Oryctolagus cuniculus: one gene and its partners. The main gene of each other region encodes a partner of the protein of the gene in region 2 in a complex. Links are inferred from orthologs where the notes say so. Each region holds a gene or a part of one and is shown on either strand. Other genes may lie near its edges.

Region 1 (6,366 bases), on a different chromosome or scaffold from region 2:
AGGACAAGGAAGAAATACAGAGGGTCCTGGGTAAATGAGTTCAGTTTCATACACAGTGTTTTTGAGGTGCTTCAGGGGCAATCTCATGGAATTTTCCAGCAAATGTTCAACCGTACCTTAGGGTTTTAAGAGCACACAGAGGCTAGGGCGGTTGTTGAACCCATACGTTTCACAAAAAATGAGTAGGACCTTGGCTGAACACTGGAATTATCAGGAATGTTTTAAAACAAAAAACTGATACCTGGACCCTATTCCCAGAGATTCTGATTTAACTGGTTTGGAGTATGGCCTGAGCATTAAGAGTTTAAAAAATGCCTCAGGTTGGTGTGGTTGTTGTGGCACAGGGAGTTAAGCCACTGCTTGGGGACAACCACATCTCCTATCAGAGCGTGGGTTCACGTCCTGGCACCTCCACTTCCAATATGGCTTCCTGCTGACACACCCTGGGAAGCAGCAGATGACGGCTCCAGTGCTAGCGTCTCTGCCACCCATGTGGGAGACCCAGATGGAGTCCCTGGCTCCTGGCTTCAGCCTGGCCTAGCCCTCCCTAATTGTTGCCATCATTTTGAGAGTGAGCCAGGGGGTGGAAGGTCTCTCTCTCTTTCTGTCACTCTCTCTTGCTCTACGTTTCAAGTGATGAAAATAAACAAAGATTTTTTTTAAAAAAATTCCTCAAGCTGGGGCCAGAACTGTGGTACAGCAGGTTAAGCCATGGCCGGCAGTGCTGGCATCCCATATAGGTACCAGTTCGAGTCTTGGCTGCTCCACTTTTGGTCCAGCTACATGCTAATGTGCCTGGGAAAGCAGCAGAAGTTGGCCCAAGTGCTTGGGCCCATGTGGGAGACCCAGAAGAAGCTCCTAGCTCTTGACTTCAGATTGGCCCAGCTCTGGTCATTGTGGCCATTTGTGGAAGTGAACCAGCGGATGGAAGATCTCCTCTCTCTCTGTCTCTCCCTCTCTCTCTCTAATTCTGCCTTTCAAATAAATAAATCAATCTTTAGTAAGAAAAAAAATTCCTCAGGTAATTCTTATGTGCAGCCCAGTTTGAGGAATCATTGGTGTAAAGAGAAAGAGACCCAAGGAAAGACTCACGGGAAGCACAAAACTTAAGGGTCAGAATGAGAAAGTAAAGAAAGAAGAAGCAGAGAGGGAGAGAGGCGGCTGCAGCATCAGATGCTGCCAGAGCACTGAGGCCGCCGAGAGCTGAGGCAAGTCTTCGACCTGTCAGCCAGGAGGCCATCTGGAGGAAAGAAGTTCTGCTAGTGACGCAAGGGCCCAGGCCAGCCCGCAAAGGGGAAAGCGAGCCAGGACTGAAAGTGTATTCCTAGGGCCTTGGTTGGGAAGGGAAGGGCAGAGAAAGGACAGCAGCTTAGCAAGGAAGCTAGAACAATGACGAGAGTTAGGGAAACCTGAGTATGTTTTAAAGCCCCAAAGGAAAGATTAAACAGGGAGGGAAAGACAGAAAACATAAAGAGGGGAGGAGGGGAAGCTGGCCAAATAAGCAGAAGATGATGGGGTCACGAAGGCGGGGACCGGGGCTGCCCTGGGAGAGGCAAGTCTTCCTTCTTACCAGGAGGCTGTAACAGAAGAGGAGAACTGATAAAGAGGAACAGCGAGGCAGACAGCGGCAGCCCCGTCCACATGGTGGGCGTGAGGTCCTCAAGCCTGAGGCTCCCTTCTACTATTCAGGGCTCCCTTGCAAACACAGATGCGGTTGAGAAACACAGACCAATCTCCTACTTTCTCCCCAGGTATCTCCAAGGCTTACCACTTGATTAGAAGCAGGATTTGAACACGGGGAAGCAGATTTAACTTCTCTTTCCTAGAGCTGTGTTACTATGGGACTCAAAGAGATGGGATTTTTTGACAAGGAATTCTCCGCCTCTCCTAGGCTTGGGTCCAGCCAAGGCTCATTTAAACTCACTGGACTGTGTTCTTTAAAGCTCACCCCCTGACTAAACTTCTCAAGTTTTCTAGCAGTTTCAGAGGCGTGGATGGATTTCTTCAAAAACAAAACAATGCTGCTCTCCACATTACTCCTCTGACTAAAATTTTTCTCTGGCTTCATTTAAATTTAAAATCTTGGGTATCCAATTCAAACCTATCATCAACCTCACCTCCATCTTCAGCCACAGCCTGTAGCCCCGCACACCTGTCATCCCCTTAGCGCCCCAGCTCCACACTTTTGCTCCAGCTTCCTCTGCTTAGTATGCGTTCTCACCCCCTACATATCCAGATCCCAATTATTCTCCAAGGCCAATGCAAATGACTCCGCTTCCAAGTTTTCCCAGATTCCCCTCCCCTCCCCTAGAAATGAGGATCTGTCCTTTGAATTTCGGTACTACGTCTTCAAGTCTATGCCCGTCTATCATATACTGTGTTTTTGCAAAGATAAGCTTTCCTCAATGTAAGCTTAAGGACTAGAAGCAGCGCTCTTCAAAGCTGTGTCCCCAGTGCCCTGCATCCCAGGATGCCATAGAGTATGGCAGGACAGGAATGAGTCTACGACACACCTTAACCATCTGGCCAGGTTAAGTGAGTCCTGCCTCTAGCAAGACAGAGCATTTAGACCAACCCCAGAGGTCTTTCTCACCCCCCACTTCCTTCTGGCCTGTAATCCTCACCCAGATTATATTGGTATTCTTACTGCCAGCTCTTTCAACAGTGCATCAATTCTATTTAGTTAAAAAAATTTTTTTTTCCAAGAAAAAGAGTCCTAAGCAGCTGTGAGATGGTGAAAAGTGCAGTCAGTTTGGGATCAGAAGACGCGGCCTTTGGTGTGGGCTCCAGGCTCCAGGTTGTTGCTTCCATATCTGCACAATGCAGATGGTCCCACAGGTTGGGGAATACTTACTGTAGAGAAAAAACACTGTGTGTGTGCACACATGAGGGTACTTCAAATTGGTGGAAAACGGAATTAAAACACAGGGCTCACTTTCCATGAGGCACCCCACCGTGTGTGTGTGTGTGTGTGTGTGTGTGTGTGTTTCGCACTTCGGCATGGCTGTGCTGAGGAACTCTTAAGTTCGAGGCCTCGCTATGCGAGTCGCCCTACTCTGCCTACTGACTGCCCCAGAAGACAGTGGCTGTGACCTTGGGGCCGTACCCAGCTCGGCCATCGCCCAGCAGTAGTGGGAAGCGGAGTACGCGTGCGGGAGCTAGAGAAGCAAGGAGGATCAGGCAGTAGGAGCCCAGGCCAGCTCTGCCCGCAGGCCAAGCACCGTACGCTTCCGCTCTGCCCACGAGTCTCGGGACGGCCACGAGGGCGCGGGGCAGGTTAAGGGGGTGAGACGTTGAAGGCCTCCACGCTCAGCTTGCCAGGGGTTTAGGAAGAGCCGGGGTCCTGGACGAACCCGCACTCTCGCGTGACTTAGGACCACCACCACCACCACCACCACCCCCCGAAGAAAACGCTTTCTTCGCTAGCGACGAGATCCAGCGAAAACCCCAGTCTTACTCCCACACCCTCAGGCAGCCCTTCTCCCCCACCCCAGCCCGTCCTCCGCCCCCGCGCCTACATATACCACCAAATGCTGCACTGCGTAAAGTTAATTACCATAAACCTCTAGCGCTTTCTCTTCCATGATCCGGGGCTGCCGGGCAGCTCCCCGCTCAGAGAGGCCTGAGAGCCACAGGACTCTGTTCAGCGTCCAGGAGAACAGCCCGGACACCCGCTCCATTCTCACGCTCCGCCATCCCTGGCGACTGTCCCACCCGAGCCACCGTCTCTCAGCTGCCGGTGTCGGGATTTAGCAACTTCCTGGTCTTCAAAAGAGCCAACACTAGTCTAAAGAAAGGGTCAAAGGAGCAGAGAAGAGGCGGGGCCCGACGGAGTAGCGCGAAAGACCTAGGGAAGGGAGCCGCAAGGACTACAAACCCCAGCATGCTTTGCTTGGCTTCAGCGCAGCAAGAAAAAAAAAACAATCCGCGCGACCCAGCTGGCGCTATGCGCGCTAGGATGTATGGGATGTTTTCCTCGGAATACGGCGAACAGTATTCTGGGATTTGGAGTTTCCTCCTCCGAGTGGGCGTGTAACGGTCTGTCACCCACCGCCTGATCAGTGCCCACAGAAAGCTAAAGATGAATCCTGAAGAGGTAGAGGAAAGGAGAGTTTGGTTTCTAGTACGGAGACTATTTACAGTTACTTCTCGGAGGGAGCTGCTTCCAGTCAGTCTCTTCCTAATCAGGCCAGAAGCGGGTTTCCGGTTGCGGTGAAATGGGATGTCGGGGAGGCCAGTAAGGACAGTTAGGCATGGTGGATCTCTGGTTTTCTCGCCTCCTAGGGACTCAGTCCAGCCCAGCTCATCACTGTGGGCTGAATATTTCTGCCAATCGCCTCCAAAGACGACTTAGAGCTAAGAGGACTTTCCCTGCACCCACGGTGACAGAATGGAGTTCGCTATGCTAAAAAGGACGTCTCAAGCCATCTGGTGTACGTGTTGTCATGGATGCCGTTAACATAGTTGATGATGTTATTTTATCCGTCTCGTCCTCCAGTTAAATCTCAGCTATGAATTGGGTACTTAATTTGCCAGATGCGATCTGTAGGTGCCGAGATAGGACAGGGCCCCTGCCCTGAAGCCTCTCGCAGCCCTGTGAGGGAGCCAGCCTCTGACGCTGAAGAATTTGCATTAGGAACAAAGTAAACCTTTTGTCAGTTCGTGATAAATTTCATCTCTGTTGAGAAGAAAGTCAGATTATCTTACAGCACTATCCCTTTTAACATACCCCATGTGTCTTTAAGATGCCTGTCTTGTTTATCTGGTTGATTTAGGCTTTTTAAAATAAGATTTGTTTATTTGAAAGGCTGAGTTACAGAAAGAGGGGAGCTCTTTGATCCGCTGGTTCACTCCCCAGTGGCCACCACAGCCAGGGCTGGGCCAGGCCGAAGCCAGGAGTAAAACAGCCAGGCTGTGCCAGGCCGAAGCCAGGAGCCTGGCACTCCATCCAGGTCTTGCACATGGGTGCAGCGGCCCAAGCACTTGGGCCGTCCTGCACTGCTTTCCCAGACACGTTAGCAGGGAGCTGGATGGGAAACGGAACAGCCCGAGCTCCGACCGTGTCCACATGGGATAATAAGCGGCATCGCAGGAGCAGCTGTACCCGCTGAGCCATAAAGCCGCCTCCTGATTTAGACTTTAGACTCACCAGTCCTTGAGTAGTTTAAACCCTAGAAAAAAATGTTTGAGCAGTTGATACCGCCCCTGCCATCTGTTCCACTCCGCTCACTCCACAGCAGTGAAGACAAGCCTCACTTCTTCCCGACCAAATCTAGTTCGGTGGGGTTTGCTCACCCTCCGCGCTTCCCCAAGCAGAACTGGAGGTCTTGTTCACCGTGCTGGGGCGCTGAGCGTGTGGAACTGTTGATTTGCATGGCTGTCTGTGTCTCATGGGTTGTAAGCACCTCCGTAGGTGGGCCAGGAGCTTGTTTATTTCTGTACCTCAAACGCACAGCAAGCTGCCAGGCACACGGTAGATGCTCAGTACATATTTCTTGGATGAACGCCCTGTAGTTCAAAGAACAAGTGGTCAAACTTTCCCGCTGTCTGTTCAGAGACCTCAGTCAAAAATATTTCTTGAATCTCTGGAGAGGGGAACTGTGCTTGGCCTGGAAAGGTGGCATGTAGAGGCTTTCAAACATTTTTAGTCACAGACTAAAGGCTCCTTTATTCAACCGAAATCTTCAGAAGCCGGTTAGACAAAGCAATCGCAGGGAACACGGAGAACCTGAGCAGCCCCTGACTGCTCCTCTCTGCCCCTCGGCCCGCCCCGGGGAGCTCGCGGGGCCGCGGCGCAGGGCTCCGATTCGCGGGCGGCGGGCGACGGCCCGGCTCGCCCCGCCCCCGGCCCCTGGGCCCCGCCCCCACGCCCCCGCGCCGCCGGGCCCGCAGGGTCCGCCGCGGCCCTCAAGCTCCCAGTACCCCCAGGAACGCTTTGCTCGCGGCGCTATCTCTCTATAAAGTTGTTGTTGCGGCTTCCGCCGCGGGTGGAGGAAGATGGCGACGGGTGGTGGCGGCTGTAGCGCATCGGAGAGACTCCCTCCACCCTTCCCGGGCCTGGAGTCGGAGTCCGAAGGGGCCGCCGGGGGGTCAGAACCCGAGGCCGGGGACAGCGACACCGAGGGGGAGGACATTTTCACCGGCGCCGCGGCGGCCGTGAGTTCGCACCCTTGGGGGCAGCCGGCGGGAGGGAGCCCCCCGAAAAAAAGAGGGGCGCCGCGAGGGGGCGAGGAGGCCGGGCCGTGTGGGCCCGGTGAGACCTCGCCTCGGTGTGGTCCTCCGGGCCCGGAGGCCCTGCGTGGGGGCCGAGCGGTGGGGCCTGGCCGCCCCGGCTCCGGGGCGTGAGGGGTGTGGTGGCCTCGCCGC
Region 2 (6,289 bases):
GCCAACCCAGGAAGAACCAGCAGCAAACCCGGGGAGGGCCGAGCAGATGAAAAGAACAGCACAGGGTCCTGTGTCGTTCCTCCACGAAGAGGGGGAGCGACATAATGGTGCCGTGACTCGGATATGAAGCCTAGGCAGGGTTTAGTGTCGCTCCTCCACGAAGAGGGGGAGCGACATGATGGTGCCGTGACTCGGATAGGAAACCTAGCTTGGATAGGAAACCTAGGACGGATAGGAAACTTAGGAGGGAAGAAACGGGAAGAACTGGGAAAATACCGGAGGAGAGACTAGTAAACAGCCTAGGGAAAAGCCGGACGAAAAGGGTGCCGGAAGAAGCTGTTGAAAGCCTAGGCATAGACTCAGATACGGACTACGGGGGGAAGCTGGGAGAAATCTCTAAGGTCGAAAGTGAAAGCTAGAACAAACAGACTCGGACGCGGACTGTGGGGAGAGGCCAGGAGAAATGAGGGAGGAATATCGTTGGAGGAAAGTTTGGGGAAACATACCGGGTAGAGAAAAATGTTAGGGAAATTGAAGCCGTGGGGGGCAGGCCAAGGCGGACACGAAAGCCACTTTGGGATTCTCAAGTTAGCCCGGGAATGGGGGGCGAAAAGTTGAAACCAGAAGCTGAAACGTAAGCCAGATTGGGATCCGTCTGATTAGCCCGGGGAGCAAAGGACGGGAAGCCAAATCGTGGGGCGGAGACGTATGCTGGGTTGAATTCGCCAGGCTAGCCCGGGGAACTTAGATTGAATGCTAGTGGCGGACACGTAAGCTACGCTGTGTTACTCGCGGAAGCCGCCGCGTGCAGAGAGAGCACGGGGCGTGAATAGATAGGGAACGGGGCTGGCGCGAGGCCGTGGTGCAGACGCAAAGGGCGTGGAGACCGCGGAGCGCGCGAAGCCAAGCCGCGCAAAGCCGGGAAGCTGCGCAGATGAAAGAGGCGCGGGCTGAAGCGGCTCAGCCGGGAAGCCGCCGAGAAGTAGCCTCGGGGCGGGCAGCGGGAAGCTGCGGGGATAAGAGAAACAGAAGTTTAGAAGCAAAGTGAGAGAAATAGGAATGCTGGAAGATAGAAGTAAAATGGGAGAAATAGGAATGCCCGGAGATAGAGAAATAGAGAAATAGAAAGGCCTCCCTACAACACTGCACTGTGAGAGCTTGGATTCGGTCTGCCTGATTAAGTGAGGCGATGAGCACGATGAGCACCTGCGGCGGCTAGCAGCTTATGCGCCGCAGGTCACCGAAGACAGGCACGAATTAACATCAGTAAGGCTTCCCCACAATACAACAATGAGAAAGCTTGGATTCGGTCTGCCTAATTAAGGCGGTAAGCACCAGCAAGCAGCTCGACCAGAGTATGAGCTGCAGGTCACCGAAGATAGGCACGAACCAACACTAATAAGTCTCCCCCACAATACGGCAATGAGAAGGCTTGGATTCGGTTTGCCTGATAGGGCTTGTAAGCCCCTGCAGGCTCGACCAGAGCATGCGCTGCAGGGCACCGAACACAGGCACGCATCAGCGCCTAAAAACCTCCTCACAACATGGCGAAGAGAGGACCCGGATTCGGTTTGCCTGATTGATAGGACTTGTAAGAGCCTGTGGCAACTCTAGCAAGTAGAGCAGAGTGTGTGCCGCGGGACACCGAAGACAGGCGCGTATCAACGCCAAAAAATAAAAAGAAAGGGGGATCTGTGGGGAGCAACCGGACTAGACTGAGTTACTGGAATTAGGACTTATTCTATGCATCTGCTCTCCCACAATATGGCGCTGGGAGAGAAGTAAACAGCTTCTACGCAGCTGCCTCCAGTTCAACTAATAAACTGTAGGACTTGCTCCTGATTGGAGGAGAGCAGCGTACTCGGCGTGTGGGCAGCCGAGTTAGGATTGGCGGAGGAGGACTATAAAGGAGGAGAGAGACGGCATGCACCAGGAACATCTATGGGGAACATCTAGCTGAAGGAAAACCCGTGCAGCCCCCGAGAAAGCCGGCCGGCGGTGTGCCGCTCCCCTGCGGAAGTGGGGAATGTGGCCAGGGGGAACTGCCCTTCCACGGAGGTGGAAGGGATAGTAGCCAACCCGGGAAGAACCAGCAGCAAACCCGGGGAGGGCCGAGCAGATGAAAAGAACAGCACAGGGTCCTGTGTCGTTCCTCCACGAAGAGGGGGAGCAACAAAGATGTTAAGTTTAGGGGCCAGCATTGAGGTACAGTGGGTTAAACTGTCACCTGTGATACCAGTATCCTGGCTGTTTCATTTCTGTTTTAGTTCCCTGCTAATGTGCTTGGAAAAGCAGCAGATCACCCAAGTGCTGGGGCCCTTGCCATCTACATGGGAGACCCAGATGGAGTTCCAGGCTCCTGGCTTCGGTAGCGCCGGGCCATTGCAGCCACTTGGAGGGTAACCAATAGATGGAAGATCTCTCAATCAATCTCTATCTTTCCCTTTCTCTCTGTAACAGCCTTTCAAATAAAAAAATAAATAGGGGCAGCATCAGACATTTGCTGTGTGATGTTTGCAGACCACCTTGCATTTACCTCTTATAGCATGGCTGTCTCTCCCCCCCCCCCCCACACACACACTGCAAGTTCTTGGTGGGCACAGATCTAATTTGTATTTATAGTCCTGCTCTGCATCATTTTTGGAGACCGTGTTCAATAATGGTGGAATGACTGGTTGAAAGTTTTAGATTTTTTTTTTCCCTAAATGAGCTAAGTCTCAGAACCCAAGCAAGTCTAGGATTTTTATTCCAATCTTTAACAAACTGCCAGAACTAAGAGATTCCCTGAACAGGTCCAAAGCAGAGGAGACAGGGGATCTGGGAAAAAGATAAAAATAATGCCGCACAAAAGTCACGATGCAAAAGTAATCAAGAACTTCACCAAGACACAGAGGGAAAGTCTAGAGGCGGATGCGACACCACCTCCAGTTGCCCCGACTGGCCGCTCGGCTCGCTCCGACTACAGCCACTCCCAAGATGCCGCGCGCCGCGAGCGGACGCGCCCAGCAGTCACCTCCCCACGTCAATCTCCACAAACAATGTGGTCTCCCGGAGCCGGCAGCCCGAGCCACCTGAACTCCCGAGTCTGAGCCCCAGCTCCCCTCCCGCCCGCGCCGCAGCTCTCCGGGCCTGCGTCTCCTCGTCAGTGACATGTAATGACGGTCTACCGTTGGCTGTGAGGAGACGTCGAGAGTAAAAGCGCTGTATGGAAGATGCGCGCGACTCTCCAACTTGTTACGCTTCTTAAGCTCGATGCTCACTAAGCAGCCCTGAGACTGATCTCTCAAAGTCATCCTGCCCCTCACTCCCTTCCCGCTCCGCGCCTGTGCTGAGGCCGCTCCCTCCTGTCGGCCCCCAAGCGGAAGGGGCCCGGCGCTGTCTGCCGTACCTGCAGCCACCTGGTCAGCGGGGCCCTCCTGCTGACCCATGACGAAGTCTTGCACGAGTCCCCACAGGGGGCCCGTAGGCGCCGCCGCCTCCTGGGGAGCGGCGGCGGCGGCCATGACGCTAACGAGCGACCGTGGGAGGGGAAGGAGGCGGAGGCGCGAGACAGGCTTGTCTGCGCACGCGCCCCCTGAGCCAATCGCTGGGTGGATGCCGCGGGGGCGGGGCGCTCCCTGGATCACGTGGCCGCCAGCTCTTGATCGGGCAGTTCCAGGGAGGGGAGGGTAGAGGAGGGGAGGGAAGGCCCCTCCCCGAGGGGTGGGGCCTGGGGCCGGGGCGGTGGCGCGGAGAGCGAAGGCGGCTCGCTGGGCACGCAGTCGGGGGCCATTGAGGGCGAATAATTCCCGGCCCGGCTCCCCGGGAGACGGGCTGCGGGGAGGACACCTGGTTGGGTGGGGCCGAGGGGCGGTACGCACCCTGGGGGAAGCCAATGAGAAAATCAGGCCCGGCCCAAGGGGGCGGTGCCGTCGGTCACATGCGCACCTGGGGCGGGTGGCGGCGGCGGCGCGGGCACCGCGAGCCGGCGGAAGGGAGTGGGGCCGGGCTGGGGCGGGGTTAGGCAGGTGAGTGACAGGCTGCGGGGGGCCGGCCCCAGCTGGGAGCCCCAAGCGAGCCGGGAGTAGCTGCGGCGGTGCCCGCCCCCTCTCTCCGCCCCTTCAGCGGGGCTGGTCTCCGGCCGGGCACCGTCGCGGGCCCCCCTGGCCCGGCCACCTGGGACTGAGCAGGGGAGTCGGCCACCTCCCTCCCTCCCTCCCCGGGTCCGCAAAGTTTGTGGCGAGGCCGGCGCCGGGGCAGAGCGCGCCCCCCCGGGGGGAGATCCGGAGCGTCAGATGCCGGGCGGCAGGAGCCGTTGACCCGGGACGCCGCCGTCCGGGGCAGGGGCGCGGAGCAGCCGACCACCCCGCCGCCTCCGGTGCATGGGGACCGGCTGAGGAGCCAGCATGGGCAACTGCGTGGGGAGACAGCGCGGGGAGAGGCCAGCCGCCCCAGGACACCCCCGCAAGCGAGCAGGTAACCACGGGGAACGAGCAGGGCCACGGGCACCTCGCCGGTCGGCCCCTGCTCGCCGGGGCCCTGGGCTCCCGGCGCGACCTCCCACGGCCCCTGGCGCCTGGGCTCTCCCAGCGCAGCTCCGAGCCTGACGAGGCCGGGGACGCCGACCGGGCTGCGAGACCAACTCGCTCCAACTGGGAAGCTCCGGGTGGCCGGTGGGGGCGGGGGCAGGAAATGTTCGCAGACCGCAGCGGGGCCGCCGCGGGGAGGAGGGCCGGGGGCGAGGGCGCCGGCGGCCTGGCAGCCCGGGCCGGGGTCGGACGCCTGCCCGTCGGGGCGCGGCGCGAACTGCCGGGCGGCCCCACGACTCGGCACGGTCGGTCGCTCCTTCCCGAGACTGACTGTGTCATTCTCGGGCTGCGGATCGCGTCTGCCGGAATCCGACTTGCAAAAGCAGCGCAGGACTCTGGGAAAGAAATCTTTATTTTTTTTCCCCCCGCAGGGCTTTTTAGAGCCTCCTGGCCGTCTGGGAGTTGTGGCGAGGTGGGGTGCGGAGCGAGAGGCGCCCTCGGGTTTGCGGGGCTCCGCGCCAGCGCTGGGAGGGGGCCGCGCCCTCTGGGGATCCGCGGGACCGGCCGCGCCGTCTCACTCTCGCCGTGCGCCCCTTCAGTCCTGGCGCTCGGCCCCTCGGAGAGGGCCGGCGGTCATTCTGGGTCTCACTTCCTTCTCCGAGGGTGTTGCAAGGACCTTCTGAGAATGATAAAATCATAGACTGTAGTGCTCGGAGGAGCGCCGAAACTTGTCTGGGTTCCAGACAGATCCGCCTCCTCCGCTCTGAGTAAAAGGCTGGGTCCCGAAAGGCTGGCGGGTTTGTCCAAAGTCACACAGCGAGTGAGCCGTGCGAGTGGGGCTGGCGGCCAGCGTGCTCCTCCTGCCCGTTGCCACATAGCCCTTGGTGGAAGGGGAGCCGGACGCAGAGTTGTGAATGAAGTGGGAACTTCAGTTTCCCACCTGCTCCGACGCGGAAGCCGGGAAGGAGGATGGGAAACCGTCGGGGAGGCAGGGAAGGATGTCTGTGCGGTGCACAGGATGGCTTGTGGCGGAAGAGACGTGTTTTCATAGGATGGAGGGGTGAGACTTAACTCCGAAACCCCGGTGTCGGAGGGCAGCCCGGGCCATTCTTCTGACTGAGGAAAGTGGATGGGCAACTCAAGGGCTTCCTGCCTTCCTTCCGTTCTTTCATTCATCCCACAAATATTTGTTATTTTTGCAGTGAGCCCTGGTAACTGATTTTGTAGCATTTTCCTCTGTTGACACCTGCCTTTACTTGAAACTCTGCCCCCTTGCCTTCTTGGTTTTCCTGTCTGGTCACTCCTGCCCACTGGCGCTGCCACCTCAGAGGAGCGGGACTCCTGCGGTGCAGTCTGAACACTTTTTCTCTTACTATGCTCCTTCCCATGGCTTTGTCCACTGGGAAGACTTTTTTTTTTTTTTTTTTTTTAAGATCTATTTTATTTATTTGAAAGTCAGAGTTACAGAGAGGGACGGAGGGAGGGAGAGAGAGACAGAGTGCCCTTCCATCCACTGGTTCACTCCCCAAATGGCCTCCACGACCCAGGCTAGGGCAGGCGGAGGCCAGGAGCCAGGAGTTTCATTCAGGTCTCCCATGTGGGTGCCCAAGCACTTGGGCCATCTTCTGCTGCTTTCCCAGGTGCATTAACAAGGAGCTGGATCAGAAGAGGAACAGCTGGGACTCGAACCAGTGCCCATATGGGATGTTGGAGCGGCAGGCGGCAGCTTAACTCATTATGCCACAAAAGTCGGCCTCGACTGGGAAGACTCTTACACTTGA
Region 3 (4,134 bases), on a different chromosome or scaffold from region 2:
GGAGAAGATAGCCCATGTCCTTGGGCCCCTGCACCCACGAGGCTCAGAGGAAGCTCCTGGCCGGCCCAGCAAAGGCCATTGTGGGCATTTGGGGAGTGAACCATCAGATGGAAGACTTCTCTAGCTCTTTCTGCCTCTGCCTCTAACTCTGTAGATCAGGGCCAGCGTTGTAGCACAGTAGGTCAAGCTTTAGCCTGCAAGCCGGCATCCATGTGAACTCCAGTTCAAGTTCTGGCTGCTTCACTTCCAATGCAGCTCCCTGCTAATGCGCCTGGGAAAGCAGTAGATGGCCCATGTGCTTGGGCCCCTGCATCCAGGTAGGAGACCTGGAACAAGCTTCTGGCCCTTGGTTGCAGCCTGGCCCAGCTCCAGTCATTGCAGTCATTTGGGGAGTGAACAGAGAAAGGAAGACCTTTCTTTCTGTCTCTCCCTCTTGAACAAATGAATAAATCTTAAAAAACAAACAAAACCAAAAACTGGGCCTCAAACCACCGCTCGTATGTGATGCCAGTGTTGCGGGCGGTAGCCTGACCTGCTGTGCCACAATGCTGGCCCCTAGTAGAATGTCTTAAATACAGAAATTTACCCAGAAACTGGGAAGGCAGAACCTATTTCAGACAAGGAATTACCACAGAACTTTTTTTTAAGATTTATTTATTTATTTATTTGAAAGAGTTAGGCAGAGAGACAGAGAGGTCTTCTATCTGCTGGTTCACTCACCAATTGGCCGTAACGGCCAGAGGTGAACTGATCTGAAGCCAGGAGCTTCTTTTTTTTTTGACAGGCAGAGTTAGACAGTGAGAGAGACAGACAGAAAGGTCTTCCTTCCACTGGTTCACCCCCAAATGGCCGCTAAGGCCGGCGTGCTGCACCGATTCAAAGCCAGGAGCCAGGTGCTTCCTCCTGGTCTCCCAAGCACTTGGGCCATCCTCCACTACCTTCCCGGGCCACAGCGGAGAGCTGGACTGGAAGAAGAGCAACCAGGACAGAATCCAGTGCACCGACCAGGACTAGAACCCGGTGTGCCAGCACCACAGGTGGAGGATTAGCCTAGTGAGTCACGGTGCTGGCGTCAGGAGCTTCTTGTAGGTCTTCCCCACGGGTGCAGGGGCCCAAGGACTTGGACCATCTTCCACTGCTTTCCCAGGCCATAGCCGAGAGCTGGATCGGAAGCAGAGCAGCCGGGTCTCGAACCGGCGCCCATATGGGATGTCAGCACTGCAAGTGGTGGCTTTACCTGCTCTGCCACAGTGCCAGCCACTACCACGGAATTTTTTAAATTGTGACTGTTCTTATAAAATAAGACTTTGGACTCAAATGTATTATTTTTGTAAAGTTTACAGTTTTGGAAAGGTCTGAGACACACTCTCCCTTCTACATATATATGAGGGAACTTCAAAAAGTTCATGGAAAATGGAATTAAAAGATGTTTATTTTGGTGCAAAAATTTTTTTGAAACCCATGATCTTTTCACAATATACAATCTCTGGGAACTTTCTGACATACCCTTGTATACACACACACACACAAACAGTACACTCCCCACCCACCCAAATTTAACACTGTCCCAAAGCAAGCAAACTCTGAGTTAACAAAAATGGACTGGCATTCTGTAGCTCTTTACTGAGGGCCTCGTGTCAAAGGAGGGGAAAAGCCAGCCACCCTGTGGCTCCATGCCTCTTTTTGAGTCTGCAGAGAAGCCAGCCAAGTTGAATCAAGGTCAAGGATGCTCCTCCAGGCCCTCCTGGGACTGGCAAAGTCTCAGCACACTTTCTCAGGAACTGTGATGCCGAAGTCAAGGCAGCTCAGAGGCCTTCAGGCTGCTGGTACTTCCAGAAGGCCACCTCCCCATCATCACTGCAGGAAGCCAGGAGCCCCCGCTCCTTGGGGTTCCAGGCCACGCAGTTGACATCCTGGGAATGGGCCTGGCGCAAATGGGCCGTCAGGGAGAAGGTGGGCTGCTGCGGGTCCGAGCTGGGATCCTCCTCAAACACTCGGATGGCATCGTCCCCACAAGCTGTAGCCAGGGCCCCGGTCAGCTGACACCTGGGAGAAATGTGCCATCAGGAGGTGTGCAGACTGCTCTTCCCTCCCCAGTCTGGCAAACTGGGCGAGAGAGAGATCTGTTCTACAGTCCCTGCCTGTTCTCTTCCCAGCTGCAGGCCTCAGCTCAGTCTTACCGGGGAGTGTCCCAAAGACAGAGCCACGAGCAGCACCTCCCTCGGTCTGCAGATGCCTCCATACGCCTTCCAGTTATAACTAACCTAAAAACCCCAAGCAGCTCTGAAGAGCACACTTCTCATTGAGCATAAGTGGTTTCCCATGCTTTGAAGTCTTTTTTAACTGATAGAACAGGCTACTGAGTTTTACCATTATTTGCTTAAGTCCACTTTTTTTGCAACATACTCGTATGCGTTACTCCAAACTGTTTGCTAATACTAATTATGCTTGGACGCCTATGAACTTTTTCCTTTGTTTAGCATTAATTCTTAGGCCTCCCTCTCAGGGCCAGAACTGTCTTCTGCCTAACTCTCCCTCTGTGTTTCCAAACCGTAACAACCCCAACCACCGATCCACAGATTCAGTCCTGCTCTCTGGACGGACTGGCACTGCGTGAATCCCGGGGCTGGTGCTGCCCTCAGAGCCTGCGCTCCTAACCAGGGCTCCTGGGTCTAAGGCTGAGTCCTGCCCCTGGGACTCGCAGGCCGGCCGGCTCTAGCATGGTGGACAGGGGGCCTCATCTACAGAAACAGGGCGGCTCTTCTCTTGTGCCCCGCTGGTAGCAGGACAGAGGGTCACGATGTCTCTCAAATCCCTGCTTTACCAGGAGTGGGGTGGGGATGGAGGTCTTACCAGGCAATGTCGTAAATGGCCCTGGAGTGGAAGCCAGACAAAGTGCAGACACACTTCCAGCTGGGGGCAGAGCCGCTGCACACCAGCCCTGCAAGACAGACCGGTTCTGAGCCCGAGGCCTCGGCGGAGGAGCTGCGCACCGCAGACTTCAGGCCATCCTGAGTCGCCGTGCCCATCCCTGTCGCCATCCTCACCGACCCGCAGCACACACTGTGGCCACACGGGTCCTCCTGGAGCAGAACTCCAAGAAGGAAATACTCCCGTCCTGCCGCAGACTATCGCGTACCCACCTAGCAGCTTGCCTTCGAAGGCCACGCAACCAGCTGAGCCAACCCACCCGACTCCTCCTCAAATCCTTCCCATCCTATGACCCCTTGTTCACGCAGCTTTCCCCAGCTCCTCTGAGTGTTCTATCTGGAGCCCTCTCCTGGCACACGCTCCTTTTACTCCAACGTGCCACCATCAGGCATGTGTCCCAGCAGACCACACGCCTCTCGTGTCTCCTGTAGCTCCGCTACTGGACCCGCACCTTGTTCATTGCCTGGTAGATACTGGCGCCAGATGCGCACAGTTCGGTCATCACTGCAGGACGCCAGGCGCTGGCCGCTGGGGTCAAAGGCCAAGCTCCACACAGTAGACTCATGGCCCTCCAGGGTGGCGCAGCACACCCAGTCATCCTCTTCCTCCCGGTAGAGCTTCACTGTGTCGTCGTAGCTGGCAGAGGCTAACAGCTGGGGGGAAGGAGGGGAGAGACCCAGCACTCGCCTGTGTGGCCCAGGAAGTGCCTGTGTGCCGGGTAGCACAGTCCCAGGGCTCAGACCAGGGTCTTCTGGTCACAGAGACCCCGTACTGACAGCCTGAGGCTGAGGAGCAGAAAAAGGCTGGGCGCCCACCTTCTCCCCAGGGTCCCCGCCCACCAGGAGCCCATGCTGGGCAACGGTTACCTCCTGACTTGGGTGCCAAACCACGTGCTTGACATCCTGTGTATGGGAGTTGAGGACACTGACACATTCATACTCATCCTCTTCGTCCACTGTGGGAGACAAAAGGAAGGGAAGCCGGAAGCCCACCGTGGAACGGCTGTCAGCTGGGTCCCGACTCCTGCAGGGACCCGGGACTCACCTTCCCAGACCCACACACTCTTGTCTCGGCTGCAGGTGGCCAGGAGGTTGCCAGATGGGGCCCAAGCCACTGACTTGACCTCGTTTTCATGGCCCTCAAGAGTGGTTACACACTGCAAAGGGAGGAGGGTTGAGAAGGGTTGGCTGAGGTTCCTAAACT

Evidence for each region.
Region 1: MMS19 (region 2) and CIAO2A share a complex: the UniProt entries of both Homo sapiens proteins name them as parts of the CIA complex. The link is inferred for Oryctolagus cuniculus from reciprocal best matches to the Homo sapiens genes MMS19 and CIAO2A.
Region 3: MMS19 (region 2) and CIAO1 share a complex: the UniProt entries of both Homo sapiens proteins name them as parts of the MMXD complex. The link is inferred for Oryctolagus cuniculus from reciprocal best matches to the Homo sapiens genes MMS19 and CIAO1.

The regions. Positions count from the first base shown.
Region 1 is NC_091443.1:87,152,973-87,159,338, forward strand, and holds the start of CIAO2A (cytosolic iron-sulfur assembly component 2A), read right to left. Parts: upstream 3,909-6,366; 5' UTR 3,681-3,908; coding exon 3,557-3,680; intron 1-3,556. UniProt on the Homo sapiens protein: Component of the cytosolic iron-sulfur protein assembly (CIA) complex, a multiprotein complex that mediates the incorporation of iron-sulfur cluster into extramitochondrial Fe/S proteins.
Region 2 is NC_091446.1:32,352,955-32,359,243, reverse strand, and holds the start of MMS19 (MMS19 nucleotide excision repair protein homolog), read right to left. Parts: upstream 3,565-6,289; 5' UTR 3,504-3,564; coding exon 3,389-3,503; intron 1-3,388. Other genes in the region: UBTD1 (ubiquitin domain-containing protein 1), read left to right, coding at 4,386-4,455. UniProt on the Homo sapiens protein: Key component of the cytosolic iron-sulfur protein assembly (CIA) complex, a multiprotein complex that mediates the incorporation of iron-sulfur cluster into apoproteins specifically involved in DNA metabolism and genomic integrity.
Region 3 is NC_091433.1:111,311,718-111,315,851, forward strand, and holds the end of CIAO1 (probable cytosolic iron-sulfur protein assembly protein CIAO1), read right to left. Parts: intron 4,088-4,134; coding exon 3,976-4,087; intron 3,887-3,975; coding exon 3,798-3,886; intron 3,585-3,797; coding exon 3,383-3,584; intron 2,942-3,382; coding exon 2,854-2,941; intron 2,047-2,853; coding exon 1,806-2,046; 3' UTR 1,415-1,805; downstream 1-1,414. UniProt on the Homo sapiens protein: Key component of the cytosolic iron-sulfur protein assembly (CIA) complex, a multiprotein complex that mediates the incorporation of iron-sulfur cluster into extramitochondrial Fe/S proteins.